Alligator mississippiensis: one gene and its partner. The protein of the gene in region 1 purifies or fractionates together with the protein of each later gene. This does not show direct contact. Links are inferred from orthologs where the notes say so. Each region holds a gene or a part of one and is shown in the gene's direction. Other genes may lie near its edges.

Region 1 (5,678 bases):
AGAATAGGCTGTCATTTCTTGAGGATGCTTCCACTTGGCTCCAGCATTGGGTGATAGGTGACCACCAGGGCTGTGTGGTCACACGGGGAGCTTCTTTTTGTATTGTAGGAGGTTGGACACTAAGAATGTCTTGCAGTTGAAAGCTTGTCTAACTCTATCCTGACTATACAGTTGGTCCCATAAAAGATAACACCCTAAGACATCCTTGCCTCCCATATAATTTCTGGACCGTCTTGGCTACAACATCACCCTTGACTTCCAAAGCCAAGAGAGTATTTTGGTGATGCCTTGACTATGATCACACTTCAACTATACAAACTTCTGTTTCAATATTTTTCTTGTTTTTTTAACATACTGGTATTTTTGGAGCTCAAAATCAGTAATGTGATTTTCTTAGGTTCCTCTCACCTACTTGCTTTGCCAACAGTTTTACTCCTGTAGCGTAATGTATGTTAGAAAAACTAGTAAAGGGGCTACAGATTAGCTCAATTCATTTTGGCAGGACTGCTCACTCCAGAAGGCTAGTGGTACAGCACCATGCTTCCAAACATACTCCTGTTCATGGTTCAAGTCAACCAGTTGCCTGTAATTCAGCACTCAACATAGTTACACCAGGAATGTCTTGTCTCACTCACCATGCTCACTTGGGTTCAACACACCATTAACACGATGGATAAGAACTCAATAGCTAATACTAACCATGTACTTATTCTTAAGTACTTTTAATTAATTAGGGCCAGAGTGCACAGCACCTTCTAGAGTCAAGCCAGTTTTGAGGATAGTTGAGTGCCACAGACTTTTTAAACATTGCTGTTATGTTAATGCAATAAGAGATATTAAAGGTCCAGCCTGCCATTTCACTCAGCCTGCAGGGCTCCTGGAATAGCTGGGAATCCAGGGGGTGCGGCGAGCAGGGGCAGGGCCCACTACCAAATTCTGGTGTACAGACTACAGAGTCCCATGGGATACACGTGTCAGTAATGGTAAAAGTAGGAGGGTGCTGTGAGGGTGGGGCAGGGGGAGTTAACCTCTATACTGCTACCACATGTCCAACCACTGCTGCCAAGTTTGGATCTGGCGTGTGAGCTGTCCCATAGTCCAGATCCAGCCCAGGGGGCTGTTCAAGTTTGACACCCCTGCTTTAATAGAATTAAATGTGGTTATTCAGTAATCTACCCTTTCATCCAAGGATCTCAACATGGATTGAAAATGTCAAGCAAATAAGATGAATACCACAGGAGAACAGAATCTCACAATCTTTTGATGAAAGGCACACTTTCTAATTGGCACACACAAAAATGGCAATGTCTCCCCAAAATCCAATAAAAATTCAGAAGCAGATAGCTGTAATTTAATCTCATATTGCTAACCATTATTCTTATAAATTGTCCTCTAAAACATTTAGTACATTCATGGTGCATCACAATAAAATGAAGAGAAAATTACAAAGAACAAACTAACTAAGGATGTGAATTTACTCCTCTTACTCACCTTGAGCAGTAGTCACTGTGAGTCAGGCAATTTAAACAATAAAATACCAATCCGCAGGAGTAAGAAGAGACAGAATCAGGCCCTAAATGAACAGAATACATTCATCCTAGCACAGTACCTTTGTTTTTTTAAATCACTCTACTAATTCACAATGAGTCTCCTATTAATTAATGTGAATTAGCAAGTTTTGACTTTCTAATTTAGGTTCATTTTAAGTGTTTTACACTACACTGATGATTTAAAAAGCTTGTTAGAACAGGCACGCAGGTGTGAGCTGCAAATCATACCAAAATTGCTGCTCTCATTCAGCTCGGCATGTGCTTTTAGTCCTTGGCCCGCTCAGCTATTGTGTTTGTTTTGGGTAGTTTCTAACGCTAGCTGCTCCTCACCGAGTTGGATTTCTTCAAGGAGCAAGATACAATGTTCAAGTCACAGCGTGGCATAAAGGAAGAAGGCTCCTCTAAATGCTTTGTGGATCCCTGAAAATCCCACTCCATTTTCTCATTTTTGTTGCATACCCTCTGCAACCTTGAGTCACTGGTTTGTAACCATGATGTTGTTCTTTTGTACTTTGTACAAGGCCCAGACAGGAGCCCTTTTGGAATATGTCAACACTAGTCCTTAATTGGTCTCTCAAGAATAATGAAAGGCATTCCAGTCTCCAAAGGGCTCAGTGTGCTGTTTTTACTGCTGTCGCAGCCCTCGCCGATACAGAGTCTGAAAGACAAAGAAACGGATGCAGCTCCCTTAGCTGTGGAGAAACAATCCCACTGTGCTGTAGTGGAGGAGTTTCATACTGCATTTTGAGTAAGCCACCCCATCAATTATCCATGACTGTACACGGTCTGGGAACATCCCCTTGCCTTCCCTTTTACCTACCCTAAATAATCATTTGATATTAATAGGTATGTGGAATGGAAAGGCATAAAACTAACTGTGCTTTGCCCGATTGTTTTATGCTTAATGCTACAAAAAATACTAAAAAAAAAAGGGATCGTGGGACCCGCTCTAAAACGATCCATTTCTTTTCCGTCTATCATTCAGCACCAGAGACCTGCACTTATCTAGAAAGAAACCCGTCGCCTGGACCGGAGGGACATTTAAACGAGGAAGGTAAAAAAAGAAAAGGGGAAGTCTGACGTGGAGAGCGGAGGGCTAGCGCGGAGCGGGGAGTCCGGGGTGCGGCTCACCCCGCCACGCTTGCTTCGGCTGCGATAGCGGCGAGCTCCTGTGCGTTAGCTGGGCGACAGCTCGGCGGAGGCGAGGTACTCGTGGGGGACTCGGCTGCAGGACGAGGCGCTCGCATTCAAGCCGAGCCGGCGGCCCCAGCCCTCGCCGGAGTCCCCGCCAGCTGCGCGGGGCCGCGCCACCGCCGCTCCCATGTGACCGGCGGGGCGGGGGTGGGGGTGAGGGTGAGGGTGAGGGCCGGTCCTCGCGCTGCTGCCGCCGCCGCTGCTGCTGCAACCCTGCGGGGAGCGGGCACCGCAACGAGGTCACGGGCTTTTTTGTTTGTTTAAAATGACGGAGCGGTGCTCGTGAACGTGTGCCTCCCTCGGCGGGGGAGCCGCGGGCCCAGCCCCGAGCCCGAGCGCGCGGAGCGAGGGGCGGAGCACGTGGGGCCGGGTCCGCGCGCTGCCAGGTACGGGGCCCCGGGCCCGGGCCCGGGCACGGCCTCCTCCTTCCCCTTCCCCTTCCCCCGGGCCGGGCCGGGCGGGGCGGGGCGGCGGCTGGGAGGCGCGGGCCGGCCTGGGCTTCTCGCCTGCGCTGCCCCAAAGGGAGGGGTGTGTGCGACGTGTGTGCCTGCGTGTGACGTGCATGTGTCTATGTCTGTGTGTCATTGTGTGTCTACGCCTGTGTGTGACGTCTGTGTGTGTCTACGTCTGTCTGTGTGTGACGTGTGTGTGTGTCTGCGTGCAATTGTGTGTCTGCGTCTGTGTGACGTCTGTGCGTGCATCCCTGTGTCTGTGTGTGTGTGAGGTGTCGTTTGTGTGACGTGTGTTGTTTGTGTGACGTGTGTGTGTCTGTGTCTGTTTGCATCCCTGTGTCTGTCTGTGTGACATCTGTGAGGTGTGTCTGTGTGACGTCTGTGTCTCCGTGCAGTGTCTGTGTGTGACACGTGTGACGTGTGGGTGACTGAACAGCAGCGAAAGGCTCCAGAGGGATCGTTCGGAAAGGAGGGTTGCAGCCAGATGTGCAGAGGCCGGGATGTGGCCACGTCACACGGCTGCTGGTGTGCAAGGAGTCCAGCATGTTTTCGGCCTGGCGCCTGAGCCATCAAAAGCGGGCGGGGATCCGCTTGGGATTTGAAGTGCTGGTGAGGGTAAGCGGCTGCACCTTCGAGGAGGCATGGGGAGGGCAGGAGGCCTGGTATGTGTTGCTCTAGAGTTGGTCAGAGCAAGTTTTTGCAGTGGTTTTTTGACCAAGTGTTCGTCTTTGGTTGAGAGGGGCTTAGTAAATCTTAAAAAAACACAAAGGGTTTTGTTTTTGGTTTTTTTACTTCCTTTTTCACCACGCTCAGCCTGTGGAAACAGGCGGTGGGGAGGTAGAGGGAATGCCCGGGCAGACCAAAAAGGCTTTATGGGAAATTGAAAACATTTGCAGGCTTGGTTCTAGTTTTGGATGAATTGAACAACTTATTTATAAGCCTACAGATCTCAGCAAGGCTAAAGCTGCTTTAGGTCAGGCAAGCACTTGCTTCCTTGCCTCTTGTTCCTTCTCATTTGTCTAGATTGTAGCCATTTGGATGAGACTTCTCCTGTCTGTTCCTGTAGTGTATTTATTGCTATTACTATTAATATTTAGATTTAAACTTTATCCAGAAAGGCTCAGAGTGGCAAAACCACATCTAGGAACTAGCACCTAAACACTCAGCCATCTTGGTCCATGATCAAGACTCCTAGACCCTATGATAATACTTTATATAGGAAATAATAGTTGCTGCTCCAAAGAGTTTATTCTCTGAAAAGTTTAATTCTGGCAGTAGTATTTGGCAGTGTTTATGCTTTTCTTTGTACAGGGAGAAAAATGGTATAACTGCCCCCTGGGCTCTAGGTAATAGTACTAGCTTTTGAAGCAGCGGAGTAAACCTTAATATTGTTTCCACTTGCATCCTAACTAATGAAAGTGCTGTATAAGAATATATATGACAAGTGCTTGTGCTAAAGACATTTCTTGGTCCTGTAAGTGTGTGTCCTCAGATCATATTGCAAGTTTGACGTCTTGAGAAATAAGTGTGTATAACGTATGCCAGGAAAGGTTAGAGCAAGGGAAAACATGGGGTACGTGTTTACCTACAGCCATGGAATTGTGTGTTTGTGCTGATTATGCAACAAAAATGAAATCCTGTGTAAGTGCACGCTTGTCACTTTTATAATCGTAAGTGATTGAAGCTCTAATTTAGAGACGCTCCCTAATTGAGAAAAATTGGGAATTGTGACATGGACCCTTAGTTATGTAGCAGCTGGTTAGTTAGAGATACTGAAGGGGCTCCAGAGACTTGCCTACTAGACACTAAAACTTTTTGTTTAGTTCTTCTCATTCATGCCTGACTGGCCTCATTGAGCCAGACGTCACTTACACCTACATGTAGTGATCATCTCTCTTCTCCGAGACAGACTTCGAAGGGAAGCATTGGCATTACAGTTCTTCTGCTACTGTCGGATAAGTACTTGCTGCCAGGTCTGAAGCAAAGAATGTAAACTGAATTCATGACTTGAGGACAAAATATAACACAGAGGTGCAAAGTGTGTAGGCTCCTGTACCAGCAAGATTGCATGCCACTAAATCTTTCTAATACTAGATTTGGACAGCTGACATGAGCGGTATGCTGCATAATTTGTATTTAATTTTACCTGTAATATAACAGTAAAATTAACCATAAAGTACTATGGTATTTGGATAAAGAAAAGTATCTTTAATAGCTGACTAGGTTTGTGTAGGGCTTTTATGTGTGCAAGGCCTGTTTGTTTTTCTAAACAGAATTTAAGCCTAAAGACTTGCCTCTGTCTCAGTCTGGTTTTATAACCACTCTGATGATGTCTTTGGAGGATGCTCAACAGATGTTGTGACAGTAACAGCACTAATCAATGTGTGTGTGCAAAGGGGGGTGATCCACAAAATAATTAACAGAAGATTAGAATTTTTGCATAGGGTAATAACACAAAAGATAAATTATTTGGGTGCCAGAT
Region 2 (5,678 bases), on another chromosome or scaffold:
TGAGGTCCAGAGGAGCGGAGCTGGGGGATCAACCTCAGAGCGACCCCTGATTCCCAGTCTTTGGGAATTCCAAATCCAAATTCCTGTTTCAAAGGACTGTTGAGGTGATTTCCAGAGTTATATATCCCTTACACAGGCACAGTCCCCTTTCTGGCTAGTACCACAGAAGCTGTATTCTATAAGGAAATCCTGTTCCTATTGAGTGCACTGCATTTTTTTAATTTGGAGGAGCGGGGGTGAGCGTATCACGGAAGTTCCCTTCTTTCAGGCTTGAGGTGCCTGGAGAAGGGACTGCCTGAACTTTTTGGGTGGACTGCCTGTCTTCCTGGACAAACTTGGCATAACTCCTTATGGATCATTTATAATAAAATAAATTATATTACTTTGCTGTCTATAAATCCCTTGCTGTGAGGCAAAAGCTGCAATTGTGCAGCTTTTCTGCCTTGGTTTGGAGTGGATACATGCTTTGCATTATCATAACCTTTTTATTTGCAACCTTATTAATTGACTAGACTCTCCCTTTTTTTCCCCATGCCCCACCCCCCTTTCAGATCCTGTCTAGGATTTACCCATCTCAGTTTGTCATCCAGAAAACCCCCATCACACTTGGGTGAAATGCTGGTGGGTGTCTTGTGATGTGATCTGTATCACAATCTGCTGCTCACGGTGCGGTGTTTATCATCCACAGAAAAGAAACAAATTGTTCTAGTCCTCTCTCCTGAGCTCTGCTCAGTATTTCTTCTCCTGGGGGCGTGGGGGCAGGAGCACCTCTGCACCCCCCATCCAATGTTCAGCTAGCTATTTTCCCCGGCTTGTCTTGCCTGCTCAGATGTACCCCAGAGCTCTGAGCACTGAGGGTGCCCTCCACGTCCCTCACGGGCACATGCAATCCCCCACCTTGTAAACGGTGACCCTCATTCCTGTTCTCAGTACTGCTTTGGCATGGGAAGGGAGAGAGAGGCAGAGACTCCAGGCTCTGGCAGCCCGAGCTGGCCAAGAGCACTCGCCCTATTTGAATCAAGCCAGGCAAAATGAAGGCAACAAAAAAACTACACTTTTAGCATCATGTTTTACCCATATTTGCAATTGAAAGCTTGTCCTCACCATTGGTTTGCTGGGGCTACCAGGCACTGGTGCCAAAGGGTAGGACAGGCAGCTAGAGACACTCTCCTACTGAGCAGGCAGAAAGTTGTGACATTAGAAGTGATGGCATTAATTTAGAAGCAGTTTGTCACCTAGAAAATCCCCATCATAATTGGATGAAATGCTGCTGCCTCTCTTGTGATGTAATACGTATTGCAGTGCACTGCTCACTGTACAGTGTACCATGATGTGCGTCCACAGGAAAGAAACTAGTTGCTCTAGTCCCAAGCCAACTCCCTCCTGAGCTCTGCTTGGTGTTTCTTCCCGGGGGAGCACCTCTGCACCCACTCTCCTTCCCGTGTTCAGCTGGCTATTTCCCCAGCTTGCCTGGCCTGCTCAGATGCACCCCAGAGTTGAGCACCAAGGGTGCCCTCCGCATCCCTCATGGGCACACGCAATCCCCAATCTTGTAGATGGGGACCCTGCTTCCTGCTCTCGCTGCCTCTCCGGGACAGGAACGTAGCAGGAAGCAGAGACTCCGGGCTCGGGCAGGCTGAGCCGGCTGAGAACATTCGCTGTTTGAACCAAGCCAGGCAAAATGAAGCCAGCAAAGAAACCACACTTTTAGCATCGTGTTTTACCCCTATTTGCAGTTCAAGCCTTGTCCACACACCATTGCCTTGCTGGGGCTACCAGGCACTGGGGCCAGAGGGTAGGACAGGCAGCTAGAGACACTCCTACTGGGCAGGAGGAAGTTGTACTATTGGAAATGATGGTGTTTCACTTGTACTAAGTCATCACAAGTGTGGGAGGGGGCGTGAGAACAGAGAGGGGTGCTGAGGAGGCCTCAGCACTCCCAAGCCCTCACTTTCCCATCAGGCCTAGCGCTGGGGCCCGGACCAGGCCCACTGCACTGCAGGCAGCCCATTGCAGTCACGTGGCCCAGGGTAGGTGCGGCCCACGCATGCGCAGCGCGCCCCGTACGGCGGAAGTGACCACCGCGGGGGACTCCATTCGGTGCCGGCCCGTGGCCGGAAGCAGGAAGTAGCGTTGCCGGAAGCGAGGGGGGGTGCGGGAAGGTTGCCGCACCGGGCGCGGGCGAGCAGCGTCTGGAGGAGGCGGGCGGGGCGAGACGAGACGCGACGCGACGCCCCTGTGCCCCGCGGGGCGGAGCGGGCCGGCGGCCGGGGCTCGGGCTGCGCGAGGGCAGGTGCGCTGCGGAGACTTTTCCCCCCGGCAACTGGGGCCGCGGCGCCATGGCGGAGGCGACCGTTGCCGGGGGCGGCTGCAGGAGCGGCACCGTCACCGAGACTGAGACCGAGACCGAAGTCACCGAGCCGGTGAGCGGGGGCGCGGGGCGGGCGTTGCCATGGCAGCGGGGGGGGGAGCCGCGAGCGCAGCAGGGGGCTGCTGCCATGACAACGGCCCCGGGAGGGGGGCGGGTGTCCGCGCCGCCCCTCACCCCCCGCCCCGCCGCCCGCAGGAGAACCGCAGCCTCACCATCAAGCTGCGCAAGCGGAAGCCGGACAAGAAGGTGGAGTGGTCCAGCGACACGGTGGACAACGAGCATCTCGGGCGCCGCTCCTCCAAATGTGAGTGCCGGCCTCGTCCGCCGCGCCGCGCTCACGGCTTGACGTTCAACCCGTGACTTGTCCTGCCCGCGGCGCGGCACGTCCCCCGTGCTCGGGGCCGGGGAGCCGTCACGCCCCCGCACGGGGCTCTAGGCTCCCCGGCCCGTGCGAGAGAGAGGCCTCTGGTCGCCCACTGACAGCTCCTCCACCCGCCTCGCTGCTTCCCCGCCCGCGTCCTGGCCCCGACACCACGAGGGAAACGCTCTGTGCCCCCTTCTCCATCCTCGGGGCACCCAGTTTGCCTGACCCGGTGCTGGGCTGGATCTCGGACTGCGCGGAGGAGAAGGGCCCCTGTTACTTGAGCCAGCCAGGCCCCGTACCCCCCAGACAGGACAGGTCTCCTGCCCCATTGATCTTAAATCCCTCTTCCCTGTCAGGAGCGTGGTGGCCTCGTCACCATCTCCTGCTGTCGGGGGGCGACCACTTTTCTCCCCTGCTGCGAGGGTCTAAGCGGCTGACCTGGGGTCAGTTGTGTAGGGGCCTGGCTGCTGCAGGGGTCACTCAGGGCATTGCGCAACGGGGTGTATGTAGCAGAAGGCCTGCAGAAGACGCCCAAGTCCTATCTCGGCCTCCCCTGTTTCTCAGAGACCAGGAGCTCCCCACCGGGTGTGGGAGGGGGCTGTAGAGCTGCTGCATGCAGGGGGCAGCTGTGAATCTTGGAATTGCCTCCATTTCTCCGCCTTGCGTTGTCATATCCCTCCTGTCGTCCCCCTCCCCCCGTTCCTCCATCTCCCTTCCTGCCCAGGCTGCTGCATCTACGAGAAGCCACGAGCCTTTGGCGAGAGCTCGACAGAGAGTGAGGACGAGGACGATGAGGGCTGTGGCAACGCCCACTGCATCCGAGGCCACAAGAAGGGCCAGGGTGGGCGAGCAGGCGGGGGAGGAGGCAGCGGCAGCCCCCGCAAGGCTGAGCCACCGGACCACAGCCATGATGGAGCCATGGAGCACTGAGCCACCCCCTCCTCCTGCCCCTCAGGGGACCTCACCCCCTCCCCTCCCCTCCCTCCCCCGCAGATGGACTGATGGGGGCCAGAGCAGGGGACGCACGTGTTTCCGTCTGTCTGTGTGCCTCGTGGCCACGTGAGCTGCTGTTCTTGTCCGTCTGTTCGTCTTCGTGTGTGGCCAGTGAGTCCGTCTCGTGTCCTGGCATGGAATGTACTGAGCAACGGGGCTGGACGTGTCCCACCCCCACTTGGCTGATTTCTCTCCGCTTCTCTATTAAACCTTTGTATCGGTGACTGGGCCCTGCTGTTTTCTGGTGCAGAGGGGGAGCCGGCCACTGCCAACTCTGCTCAGGGTCCTGAACACCAGCTCACAGCCACTCCCCTGGCAGAGCTGTGCCAGCCTTCGGTGTTCCCCACCACCCTAAAGCATGACCTTTGGTCCTTGCTATTTCCCGTTTTATGGCTGCCACTGGATATTGATTGTAACATATGTGAATGTATCCTGTTAAGGAAACCCTTTCTGTTTTGTTTTCCTACATGGTGCTCCTCTTTGTACAGAGGAGTCCTGTGGGCTTTATCTCAGAAACCTGGGGAAAAAGGGAAGTGATCTCTCTCTCTTCTCTCTCATATATTAGAAATTCAGCTCCCCTCTCTCCCCTGGAAGTCTCTATGGATGACTAGAGAACTGTTGCATTTGCAGCCTCCTGGCTACCAAGGAAATGAAACTCAGGACAGTGATTTGTATTTGATTTGGTACCCTTTATTGGCATCTAAATCTAAAAAAAAAAAAAATACAGAGGGTAAGAGTCTTTCAGTGACAGTCAGTTTCTACCCGTCTTCCAAGGTCTTCTGGTCCACATGTTAACCTCCTCCATGGAGACCTCCAGCAAAGTGGGGAAGGCAAGACCTGACCAAATGATATTTATTTCTAAGATAAAAAGAGAAATTATCTCCCCAAGACCCAGTGCTGCACCTTGGTTTTTTTTTTTCTTTCTGTATTACAAAGAATGAACTGGATTTCCTTTGCCCTGACTCTGTTGATCACCTTGAAAAGAGTCCTTTGCTGCACTTGGCCTTGCCCCTGTGGCTGTTGGCGTTCCATCACCCAGAGATGCTGGCATCTCGTCACCTGAGCTGATGACATGCTTCCCCTTAGTGATGAGGAGAGAATGGGAGGCCTGGATTCAGGGTCCCTGGCTTGAGGAAGGAGGTGAGGAGTTATAGGTAAGACCCTGCAGTGGATGGGGAGGCAGGGGGTGTAGCTGTGCAGAGGCTGTATGTGTGTGTGTGTGTGTGCACGAGAGAGAGAGAAGGGGAGAGACTGCACACATGCTTGGCCTGCAGAAGCTACAAAGCGTGCATTCCTTCAGGTTATTATTTTGCCCTTTGGCAATCTTAAATACCTCTGCAATGCTATTTTTCCCCACCCCCACCGTTAAGAGCTGTGCTATCTGCTGCCTTTCAGCACTCAGCAGTATCATGGAGCTTTTTTGCTTGTAATAAGAGGCAGATAAGGCACAGTGCCCCTAGAGGATAGTATTGTTGCTGTCAGGTTTAATCTCTTATCTTCCTGTAATTCTCAGTCCAAGTACTAAGATCTGCCGCATGTATGCAGCCCATTCTGGGGAGGAACATAGCAGCTGAGTAACACTTGTACAGTAACGCTGCACAGGAATTACTCATCCTGTTTGGAAATAGAACCACCTCCGCTCTGCACAGCCGAATAACAACTGTGCAGCAGTGCTGCAGATGGATCGACGATCAACAGTAAGAGGCATCTATCTGTAGGGAATGAGAGCTCCATTACATTAAACACTATACAGAGATGTTTCACTGCATTGAAATGAATCTACTTCTGGCATGCGGTACAGAGGCCAGCTGAGAGCCGGACAGCAACCCTGCAGATGGGTGGCTTGCCCAGCACTAAGATACAGCCACCTCTGTTGTGCGGCACAGTTGGTACCTAATAGTTTCTTACAACAGCATAAGGGGAAAATGGAGGGGGCTGAAGTATTAAGAG

What was found. Proteins that work in one complex are often made in the same cells at the same time.
Region 2: the proteins of UBXN2A (region 1) and PPP1R11 purify together in Homo sapiens (affinity purification with mass spectrometry; 3 studies listed by BioGRID and IntAct, counting the BioPlex papers as one, with this or other methods). This does not show direct contact. The link is inferred for Alligator mississippiensis from reciprocal best matches to the Homo sapiens genes UBXN2A and PPP1R11.

The regions. Positions count from the first base shown.
Region 1 is NC_081824.1:16,046,258-16,051,935, reverse strand, and holds the start of UBXN2A (UBX domain-containing protein 2A), read left to right. Parts: upstream 1-2,206; 5' UTR 2,207-2,396; intron 2,397-2,535; 5' UTR 2,536-2,604; intron 2,605-2,673; exon of another isoform or gene 2,674-2,769; intron 2,770-2,915; exon of another isoform or gene 2,916-2,983; intron 2,984-3,049; exon of another isoform or gene 3,050-3,130; intron 3,131-3,210; exon of another isoform or gene 3,211-3,811; intron 3,812-5,678. UniProt on the Homo sapiens protein: Acts to repress the ubiquitination and subsequent endoplasmic reticulum-associated degradation of CHRNA3 by the STUB1-VCP-UBXN2A complex in cortical neurons.
Region 2 is NC_081834.1:54,002,670-54,008,347, reverse strand, and holds PPP1R11 (E3 ubiquitin-protein ligase PPP1R11), read left to right. Parts: upstream 1-2,167; 5' UTR 2,168-2,339; coding exon 2,340-2,423; intron 2,424-2,566; coding exon 2,567-2,675; intron 2,676-3,459; coding exon 3,460-3,665; 3' UTR 3,666-3,952; downstream 3,953-5,678. UniProt on the Homo sapiens protein: Atypical E3 ubiquitin-protein ligase which ubiquitinates TLR2 at 'Lys-754' leading to its degradation by the proteasome.